3 linked regions of the Canis lupus familiaris genome follow. The protein of the gene in region 1 binds, or shares a complex with, the protein of each later gene. Links are inferred from orthologs where the notes say so. Each region holds a gene or a part of one and is shown in the gene's direction. Other genes may lie near its edges. The genes, in order: SMARCA4, ARID2 and SMARCD2.

What was found.
Region 2: SMARCA4 (region 1) and ARID2 share a complex: the UniProt entries of both Homo sapiens proteins name them as parts of the SWI/SNF-B (PBAF) chromatin remodeling complex. The link is inferred for Canis lupus familiaris from reciprocal best matches to the Homo sapiens genes SMARCA4 and ARID2.
Region 3: SMARCA4 (region 1) and SMARCD2 share a complex: the UniProt entries of both Homo sapiens proteins name them as parts of the BAF complex. The link is inferred for Canis lupus familiaris from reciprocal best matches to the Homo sapiens genes SMARCA4 and SMARCD2.

What each region holds. Positions count from the first base shown.
Region 1 is NC_049241.1:50,578,660-50,581,798, reverse strand, and holds part of SMARCA4 (transcription activator BRG1), read left to right. Parts: exon of another isoform or gene 1-760; coding exon 761-869; exon of another isoform or gene 870-1,246; coding exon 1,247-1,348; exon of another isoform or gene 1,349-1,519; intron 1,520-3,139. UniProt on the Homo sapiens protein: ATPase involved in transcriptional activation and repression of select genes by chromatin remodeling (alteration of DNA-nucleosome topology).
Region 2 is NC_049248.1:37,971,099-37,974,778, forward strand, and holds the start of ARID2 (AT-rich interactive domain-containing protein 2), read left to right. Parts: upstream 1-839; 5' UTR 840-990; coding exon 991-1,082; intron 1,083-1,270; coding exon 1,271-1,364; intron 1,365-2,587; coding exon 2,588-2,685; intron 2,686-3,680. UniProt on the Homo sapiens protein: Involved in transcriptional activation and repression of select genes by chromatin remodeling (alteration of DNA-nucleosome topology). Required for the stability of the SWI/SNF chromatin remodeling complex SWI/SNF-B (PBAF).
Region 3 is NC_049230.1:15,132,083-15,135,728, forward strand, and holds part of SMARCD2 (SWI/SNF-related matrix-associated actin-dependent regulator of chromatin subfamily D member 2), read left to right. Parts: exon of another isoform or gene 1-16; intron 17-1,862; coding exon 1,863-2,047; intron 2,048-2,244; coding exon 2,245-2,287; intron 2,288-2,429; coding exon 2,430-2,552; intron 2,553-3,646. UniProt on the Homo sapiens protein: Involved in transcriptional activation and repression of select genes by chromatin remodeling (alteration of DNA-nucleosome topology).

The sequences.
Region 1 (3,139 bases):
CCTGTCTGCCAGTCCTTGAAGTGCCTGCTCACTCTCTCCTCAGGGAGGCCTGAGGAGTGATGTCCCTTCAAGCTCCTGGCCCCAGACAGATCCAGACCTGGACGTGGCACAGCCTGGTGGCCAAGTGCACGGCACCTGCATATGTGAGGCCCAGGAGACAACACTTAAGACCCTGCCACATCTCAGGGTTGCTCACAGTGTCTTTTCTCTGCTCCCTCGTGAAAAACCAGTACTTTCCCAATTGCAAGAACTAGAAAACCGCTCAGGTCTTCCGCTAGGGTCTTTCCAGGGGGCATTTCTCCTCCACGGGTTTTGCCAAATTCTCTGAAGTTCACTGCTCCTAAGTGCTGCCTATGAGAGACATGCTTGCAAAACTTGCAAAAACTGGTCTCTCTTTGAGAACTGGCACTTACTGCTCCCAACCACCATAAGCAAACTGATTTTTGCAAAGTACATAGGTGTAATCATGATTCTACCTCTTTGGAGTGCCAAGGCTTCTATTGCACAGCATTTGGCAATGTTTCCTCCAGGGGCTTTGGAGGTTGGATGAGGGCAGAGCCTGCGTTCAAATGCATTCCTGGCCTCTCTTTGCATGTTTTCCTCTCAAGAATGTTCCAGAACTCACAAGACAGTACATGTACAGGAAATAACTCCAAAGTGCTTTGAATTTCTCATTCCTCAAGCAATGGGTGGTGGCCAAGTGGGGGCTCCCCCAGCAGGCAGGGCCTGTGAGTGACGCCCACTGTGTCCCACCTTGCAGTAGTAGTGGACGTCAGCTCAGCGAGGTGTTCATCCAGCTGCCCTCCCGCAAGGAGCTGCCCGAGTATTACGAGCTCATCCGCAAGCCTGTGGACTTCAAGAAGATAAAGGTAACCCTGGCATAAGATGTGGGAAGTGGGGATTCTCTACAGGGATGTTTGGGGAATCTGACCCAGTCCCTCCCCAATATGGGCCCCCCCGGGGTGCATGGGAAAGATGACCACAGAGCAGACTGAGCAGAGCCTGGGCTGTCTGGCCGGGATCCTAGTCACAGGCTCTTGGGATTCCTCAGAGCTCCTTCAGGGTTATCCATGGCCTAAGCTTCAGCAGTGCAGCTCTTGTGTTCAGTGGGCCCAGGCTTCCAAGTCTACAGAAGCACCCAAAAGACTGGGCCCATGACCTTATGAGGCAAAGGGATTCCTGGCCTCAAGGTCCCTGGGCACAAGGCAAATTCCCAAGCTAAGGCTGCCTCTCCCATCACCCACAGGAACGCATCCGCAACCACAAGTACCGCAGCCTCAATGACCTGGAGAAGGACGTCATGCTGCTGTGCCAGAATGCTCAGACCTTCAACCTGGAGGGCTCCCTGGTGAGGAGGCACCTGGGTTGGAGGGCACCCACTCCTAATTTTTGCTGTCTTTGCAGCTGGGCTCCAATTAAGCATGCCCCTTGCTCTGTTTTAAATTGACTGGATAAGGGGATCCCTGGATGGCTCAGCAGATAAGCGTCTGCCTTCAGCCCAGGGTGTGATCCTGGAGTCCTGGGATCGAGTCCCACGTCAGGCTTCCTGCATGGAGCCTGCTTCTCCCTCTGCCTGTGTCTTTGCCTCTCTCTCTGTCTCTCTGTCTCTCTCTCTCTGTCTCTCATGAATAAATAAATAAAATCTTTAAAAAATAAATAAAATTTACTGATTAAGGGGTGCCTGGGTTTCTCAGTTGAGCGTCCAACTCTTGATCTGAGCTCAGGTGTTTGTTGATCCCTCAGGTCATGAGTTCAAGCCCCATTTTGGGTGTTTGTTGATCCCTCAGGTCATGAGTTCAAGCCCCATGTTGGGCTCGATGCTGGGCATGGAGCCTACTTTAAAAAACAAATAATACTCTGGTTTCTCTTCAGATCGAATAAATCTTTCTCCTTTTAAAAAACAAACAAGGAAACACCCAGGTGGCTCAGTGGTTGAGCCTCTGCCTTTGGCTCAGGTCATGATCCCAGGTCCAGGGATTAAGCCCTGCATCTGGCTCCCTGTGAGGAGCCGGCTTCTCCCTCTGCCTATGTCTATGCCTCTCTCTCTGTGTGTCTCTCATGCATAAATAAATACAATCTTTAAAAATAAAAAGACTTTTAAAAAATAAAAAACAAACGAAAACAATAAATTGATTAAAATAGAATTCCCAGGGCATTCTGGATGGCTCAGCGGTTTAGCGCCGCCTTCGGCCCAGGGCATGATCCTGGGGACCCGGGATCAAGTCCCATGTCGGGCTCCCTGCGTGGAGCCTGCTTCTCCCTCTGCCTCTGTCTGTGCCTCTTTGTCTCTGTGTGTTTCTCATGAATAAATAAATAAAAAGTCTTTAGGGGATCCCTGGGTGGCGCAGCGGTTTGGCGCCTGCCTTTGGCCCAGGGCGCGATCCTGGAGACCCGGGATCGAATCCCACGTCGGGCTCCCTGTGCATGGAGCCTGCTTCTCCCTCTGCCTGTGTCTCTGCCTCTCTCTCTCTCTCTCTCTGTGTGACTATCATAAATAAATAAATTAAATAAACAAACAAATAAATAAATAAATAAATTTTTAAAAAGTCTTTAAAAAAACAATAGAAAAAAGAAAAAAAAAACAATAGAATTCTCAACCACTTGGAATATTTTGTCAATTATAAAAGCAGCGTATTCCTTACTAAAAGATGCAGAAAGAACAATAAGCAGATTAGCGAAAATAAACTCCGTCTAACCCATCCAAGATGACCTGTGAGCAATCTGGTGGGTGTGTTTGAATTTTACTTTGAATTCACTAGGACTTCCTTAAAAGGAATCCTGTGGATGTGTCCTTTCCTGCAATGAAATTAACACATACATTACTGCAACTTAGCAAACTTTTCCTGACTGTGCTTAGGGTAGATGCTACACGGAAAAGAGATTTTACAGTCCTAAATTTGAGGGAAATGCTGCCTTAAACAAAGGACATGCATTTCCAGCATTACTGCAGACCTTCTCAGAGCCCTTAGAAGCATATGCTCACTGGGATCCTTCAAAGGGAGGGAGGAACTGGTAGTCATTCCTAAATTAACACAGCCATGCTTTTCTCTGAGTCTCACGTCCCAGGCCCCAATTGGGAAAGGGTTACAGAGGACCCTCTGCCCTGCATAGGCTGTCGTGGCCAGAGGGCAGGGCCAGT
Region 2 (3,680 bases), on another chromosome or scaffold:
TGTGCGGCACATTGCAGATGAACCCTAAGCCCGGCGAGCCGAGTCTATTGTTCCCCGCGAGGAGCTGCCGGGGCGGTGTGGAGCCGGGCGCAGTGCCGCGGCCGGCCCTCGGGGGTCGCTGTGCGGCGCTGGCTGCCCGGCCGTGGCGGCGGCGGCGGCGGCGGCGGCGGCGGCGCTGGCGGCGGCGGCAGAGAGCGAGGCTGGCGGGGAAGGAAGCGGGCGGGCGGCGCGCAGCGGCTCGGCCGCCGCCGGTGCTTTCTGCCCGGGGACGCCCCGGCCGCCGCGGCCCAGGCCGCGCGTGAATGTGTGCGAGGGCCCCGCGGAGCCGCGGCCGGAATACACGCTGTCACCCCTCTCTCCACAAACCACCACACAGACCTCCCCCTCCCCACCCCCAGCCCCGCCTGCCCCAGCCCCGCCGCCGCCGCCGCCGCCGCCGCCGAAACTCCGGGCCTCCGGCCGCTCACCGTCGGCTCGCCCGGCCCCTCGCCCGCCCGCGCGCCCCCGGCAGCAGCCCCATGTTGAATCGCGTCCGCAGGCCGAGCCGCCTGGGCCGGCGGCGCTGAGAGGCGGGCGAGAGCCGGGCCGCGGGGAGGGAGGGAGGGAGGGAGGGAAGGAAGGGGTGGGGGCCGCGCTCGCCCCGCGGCTTCGCGCCGATCCGGCAGTCGCCTGCCCCTCTAGTTTCGCTCCGATTTCTTTAAACTTTTTTAGAAATTCCCCTCCCTCCTTCCCTCCTCTCCCCCCGGCCTCCGGCTCCCTCCTTCCCCTCCTCCTCCTCCTCCTCCCCCTCCCTCCCTCCCTCCCTGCGCCGCCGCCGCCGCCGCCGCCGCCGCCGCCGCCGCCGCCGCCGCCACCGCCGGCCCATGACTGAGCCCCGCCGCCGCCGCCGGCCGAGGAATGGGCTCCGGGCTCTGGTAGGACGCGCGGGGAGCGGGGGCCGCTTTTAAGACGCCGATCCGGGTTTTTTTTGAAACCTCCTTTGCAAAAATAATGGCAAACTCGACGGGGAAGGCGCCTCCGGACGAGCGGAGAAAGGGACTCGCTTTCCTGGACGAGCTGCGGCAGTTCCACCACAGCAGAGGGTGAGCGCAGAGCCGGGGGGGCAGCGCCGGGGCGAGCCGGGGCGAACGGGGCTCTCCCGCCCGGGCCGGGCGCGGGGTCCCGGCTGACAAGTGCGGGGCTTTCTCTCTCTCTCTCGCTCTCTCTCGCTCTCCTCTCGCTCTCCTCTCCTCTCTCTCTCTCTCTCTCTCTCTCGTCTCCTCTCCCGCAGGTCGCCTTTTAAAAAAATCCCTGCGGTGGGTGGGAAGGAGCTGGATCTTCACGGTCTCTACACCAGAGTCACTACTTTAGGCGGATTCGCGAAGGTGAGTGGAAGTTTTAATTCGTATTTCCCTCTCGCTGGCCTGCTCCGAAAAGTCTCCTTTGACCCCGGAGTGGGCGCTCGGGGCCCGGGGCGGGGGGGGCCCGGTGGCCCGCGGGGGCAAAAGGCGTTCTCGGCGCTCGCAGCCGGTGGCACGGAGGCGGCCGGGCGGCGGGGCTGTTTTTTTGGCCTGGTGGCTCGCGTGCGCGCGGCGGGGCGGCGGGGCTCGGGCGGGCGGGCGGCCCGGCGCCGGCTCGCGCCCTGCCCGCCGCCCGCCCGCCCGCCCGCCCGGCCGGCCGGCCCGGCGGGGTCCGAGCGCCGCGGCGGGGAGCGCGGGCGTGCAGGGGGCGCCCGCCCGAGCCCCGCCGCCCGGCCGAGCCCCGCCGCCCCGCGCCCGCCCGCCCGCCCGCCCGCCCGCGCGCCCGCCCGCCCGCTCGCTCGCGAGTCGGCTCCGCCGCGGCTGCCGCTCTAGCACAGGCGGAGACACAGAGACACACAGACTCTGAGAGCAGTTTTCGTGCAACTCAAAATTAGCGCGGGCAGGTTTCACATCGATAATCGGCCGCCAAATGATCCCGGCGGCCGGGGGCACAGCCTCGGCCCCGTCGCCCTCGGTTTATACGGCTAACAAAAGAAACCAGGACCTGTCTCCAAATAGCCATCTTAGGCTTCAAGGCTAGGCAGAAGCTGTAGGCCTCAAAGAAGGGCCTATGGAGATGGAGAGATGTGGGAGAGGGATCGGGAGCGGCCCCGGGCCCGGCCCCCCCCCCGGAACCCGCCGACGTCGCTGTCCGGAACAGTATTGATCCTTTTGAACTTTTTTTTTTTTTTTTTTTTAGTGTAAACGGACCGCGTTGAGATTTAAAAGGGGGCGACAGAGGGACTTGCGATTGGTTATTGTCCGGGCTTCAAAAACAAAACAAACCCACCAGTCTCCCCCACACACCCCCTCCCGGGCCCCCCGCCGCCGCCGCCCCCCCCCCCCCCAAACAAAACAAGTGCTATTAAATACAGGGCTCTCGGGTGAAAACACAGTGATTCGAGCCCCCCCCCCCCCCACACACACACTCCCTTGCTTAGTTCTCCTCACGGATCGATCCCAAACACCCACTGATGCCCGAGGTGGTGTATCCTCAGATCTCTGTAGAATGGGTATTTATTTCACGGTTAGGCTGCAGTCTCCCTGGACGGTGCACTCTCAGACAAGTGTGGCTGTGTTTTTAACAGGTTTCTGAGAAGAATCAGTGGGGAGAAATTGTTGAAGAGTTCAACTTTCCCAGAAGTTGTTCTAACGCTGCCTTTGCTTTAAAACAGTATTACTTGCGGTGAGTAGTAGTGACTCTTGCACAGTATTTGGAACTGAGGGACTCAAGGGGAGATTTGTGGGTGTTTTTTTTGTTGTTGTTGTTGTTGTTGTTTGTTTGTTTGTTTTTTGGTGGTGGTGGTAGGGATAAGCCCCCCACTCCCCCCAAACAAACCTTGCACACCAGTTTCTAAACTTGTCTTCATCTTTTCAGTCCGACAAACATCAAATATCCATAAAGTGAGGTTGTATAGGAAGGTGAAAGTTTTCCTCGCCTATTTTAGGACTGTTTACATTTTTCATACGGGATCATTACAGGTGACACCCCACCTCCCATCTTGGTAAACGTTCTTTTGTGACATTGTTATTGATTGGTTGATATCCACGGAGGGGCAGAGAGGTGATGCTTAGTAAAAGAGTTAAGATAGTTAATGAAACTTTGTATCCCCTGGGAAAATTTTTGCTTGGCTTCGGAAACTCCTTTGCCTTTTAAAATCCTCACTTTAAGATTCTCAAACAAAACAAAAATGATACCTCTTGCATGGAACCGTGTAACAGAGTAGTTTTTCAGTAGAATATTTACACACAGCATAGCATGTTTGGTGCCTTAGGTGACCAGGATTCTTTTTAGAATAAGTTCTTTGGGATTTTTGAGTGACTTAAAAACGTTCAGAAGGATTATTATATATGTAGGAAGATTAAGGATACTATGAAATGGAATACTATGATTTGGATTTTCTTTCATTCTCTCCCTCCTTTTTTGACAGTCTTTGACAAAGTAAGTTTCTTAGTTGATGTGTGGTACGCTTTAGATATTGTATTTTCTGATTAAGCTTTATTTTTTCCTTTTTCTGCTAAGAATATTTTCATATTGTAACCTATTATGAGGTCATCTTTTATTTTTAATGCTTGCTTACTCATAGAGGGTCTTTAGGTGGTGGTGGTGATTTAAAACTCAGAGGGTGCTCTTCGTATTTATTGCTGTTTAATAATGATACCATTAAGGGATATAAAAAA
Region 3 (3,646 bases), on another chromosome or scaffold:
TACGACTTCATGAGCTGTAAGTACCCCCCCACCCCCGGGCCCCTTTTCTCTCTTGGGAGAAGCCTGGGGCCCTGGCAAGCCTAGGGGGGCTGTGTGCCTGGGAAGTCTAGAGCAGATGTCTGGGAGGAGCCTTTTCCACCCCCTGCCGCCTTGACTTGGGGCTTCCTGCTGCCGGAGCACCTGCCTGGGAGGGACGGGTAGTGCCGGGAGGTTTTGTGTACACCCCAGTGCATGGCTTCCCAGGGACCACAGGGCCCTGGCTTCCTCTCTGCAGACCCCACTGCTTCTGTTGCTCCTCCTCTGGCTTGGGGTGGGGAAAATGTGTCTAGGATGTCTGGAGCCTGGGCTTACAACTGTGGCCACACTAGAGGTTTTTTCTGTAATCTCTGGCCATGGCTCATTAAGGCTGAGAAACAGGCTTTCACCTTTGAACAGCTCAGATGAATCTTTTCGTGATGAGGAGAAGTTGTGGCAGGACTCCCGAGCCCCCCCCCCCCCCCCCATGTTTAACTCCTCCTCCCACCTGCTCTTCTTTGCCCTTCCCTCCATCTCTGGTTATTTTTCTCCATCTCTGCCTCTGGTCAAGAGTCTGACCCTCTGTGCCGAGAACATGAGTTCAGTGCTAGATGAGAAAGTGGGGGAAGAATCTCATCTCCATGATACTGGGTGGGAGGGTGTGTGATACAGGGGGGGTCCTCTGATTTGGTGCAATTCCACACCCAGCCTGGCTTGGTTGGGTAGTTGTGCCGGTTGCATAATCTGGGCCCTGGGGCCAGCCCTGTGAAACTGCCAGGGACAGTGTGTGCAAGGCAGAGCTGCCAAACAGGCCTTGCCGGCAGCAGCTGTGGAGAGGGGGGCTGAGGGCCGGGGTTACTCCCAGAAATGTTGGGGAGCTGGGTTTGGATGGGAAATCCTTCTGCGGGCTTCTACAGAAGCCGTTTTTGTCACCCAGATTCCTGGTGGCCCAATGAGTGATCTCTTATCCCAGGATAATCTCTCCATTCTCCAGTTTGAGGTTGTGGGGCTGGGTTAAAGCCCAGCAGCCTCAGCTGCCAGGTGGTGCGTAGACCACAGGGTCCAGGGGCCAGCTGCTCTCCCACAGGCCACCCCGGAGCCCCAGCTCTCCTCTTGGGGTCTTCCGTGTTGGGGTAGGGAGCAGGGCAGCCCAGAGCTAGAGAGAAGGGTCCGGTTCTGGGCTCTAAGTAGGGGCCATATGGTGACCAGATGGTCTCTGTGCTCCGCCTGAGGCCACCCCCTCCAGCTGGGACGTGCTCCAAGCCTTCCTGCTGGAGCTTGCTCACCTGGGGTAGGCTTGCCAGCCCTGTGGACGGCTGTCCTCCCCGTGGTCACACCACTGCGCTGGTGCCAGGGGATGGAGGCTGGGGTTGTGCCTGTTCATGTCACACCACAGCCTCCACCTGGCTGGGACACTGCCCCACGCCATGCTTTTCTCTCAAACTGGGAAGGAAAAGGCCTGCGGTGCCGTCTGAGGGCGTGGGGACTGGCTGTAGAGCCTCACTGCCACTGCCGGCTGGTCCCGGGAGCAGGGTACGGCCCCAGGGGGCTGGAGGGTGGTGACAGGCCCTTCCCTCTCGGCAGGACTCTCCTCCCACCCCTGGGTGCGGGCAGGCCTCATTGGCTGCCAGCGATGCCCGGGTGGGGGGGCGGGGGCAGGGCAGGTGTGGTTTACATTTCTGCCCTCCAGCACCTGCTCTCCTTTGTTCCCAGCCCTCCCACTTGAGCTCCACAGTGTGCTGCTGTGGGCCAGCCCCGGGCCCAAGAGAAGGATGGAGAGAATGGGCTGTGGGCCCCGGGGTGCCCTGCCGCTGACCTATGCGCCCCCTTTGGTTTGCTTCCCCCAGCGGCCTGGTATGTCACCGGGGAGCCGGATGCCCATGGCTGGCTTGCAGGTGGGACCCCCTGCCGGCTCCCCATTTGGCACAGCTGCTCCACTTCGACCTGGCATGCCACCCACCATGATGGACCCATTCCGAAAACGCCTGCTGGTGCCCCAGGCCCAGCCCCCAATGCCCGCCCAGCGCCGGGGGTAAGACCATCCTGTTTCTCCTCTCTCTACCCAGCTCAGCTCTAGTGGTAGCAGAGCAGTTCCTTCTGCCCTAAGAGCTCTGATAACTGAGGAAGACTCCTGGCTCTTCCTGGGGAGGAACCCAGGGGCTGGAAGGGTGGGTGGGGGGAGGTGTGTTTGGACCAATGAGGTCTTAAACGAGTTTTTGTCCTCCCTAGGCTAAAGAGGAGGAAGATGGCAGATAAAGTTCTACCTCAGCGAGTGAGTATGTTGGGCGGGGGCCGACGAGGCCTGCCCAGTGGCTGGCAGACTGTGGGTGCTATCAAGCTCCCCCAATCCTGGGATGGGCGAGCAGGGAGCCAGAGCTGCTGCTTAAACAAGCCAAATTCCTTCCTTCCTCCAGATTCGGGAGCTTGTCCCAGAGTCTCAGGCGTACATGGATCTCTTGGCTTTTGAGCGGAAGCTGGACCAGACCATTGCCCGAAAGCGGATGGAGATCCAAGAGGCCATCAAAAAGCCTCTGACGGTGCGTGTGCAGCCCTGGCCAGTCCTTGGCCCTCAGACTTCTCTGCCTCTCCTTGGCCTTGATTGCCAGAGGCCAAGCATGGGGCTGTGATTTCTTGCACTGCCGGATGCAGCCCATTAGTGAAGCATGAACTCAATTTCATGTGGTGGGACCAGCATGTTTTTAACAAAATACAAAATAGAAGTTCTAGGGCAGCTTGGGTGGCTCAGCAGTTTAGCACCGCCTTTAGCCCCAGGGCGTGATCATGGAGACCCGGGATCGAGTCCTGCATCCGGCTCCCTGCATGGAGCCTGCTTCTTCCTCTGCCTGTGTCTCTGCCTCGCTCTCTCTCTCTTTCTCTCTCTCTCTCCCGTGAACAAATAAATAAAATCTTAAAAAAGTAGAAGTTCTAATACTTCACAGTAGTATAGTACTTACCATAGTGGTGAAAATGTCATTTTTTTTTTTAAGATTTTATTTATTTATTCACGAGAGACAGAAAGAGAGGCAGAGACATAGGCAGAGGGATAAGCAGGCTCCATGCAGGAAGTCTGACGTGGGACTCAATCCCAGAACTCGGGGATCATGCTCTGAGCCAAAGGCAGATGCTCAACCGCTGAGCCACCCAAGCGTCTCAGAAAATATCATTTCATAACATTTTGTTTCAGATATTTGTGTATGTATGTGGATCCTTGATCATGATTGAAAGCGTGATTCTTATGGATTGTGGTCAGAAGTTTGCAGGGCAAGACTAGAGGGTAGATAAGGGTAATTCCAGTCTCCTCCCACACCTCCCCACTCCTTTTAAAAAATAATACTCTAAAACAGTCCCCTGAGTAATGAAAGCTTTCCAGAGACAAGGTTACTTTGGGGCCTGATGACTGAGTTGTGTTTAAAGTGTGAGCTGGAAGCTTCTGATTTGCCCGATAAAACCCTGTATGTCCCTGTCACCCCACCGATCCCACTGTGCTGGAATTCGGAAGTCCCATCTGCCTCCCCCAGGACTGTGAGTTCCTTAAAGTCTGGGCCTGGGATTTCTGACTCCTGGTTTCCAGTGCCTAGCAAGGTGCCTGGCCCCTCATCCACAGGCAGTATCCATGCTGAATGAGTCCAGA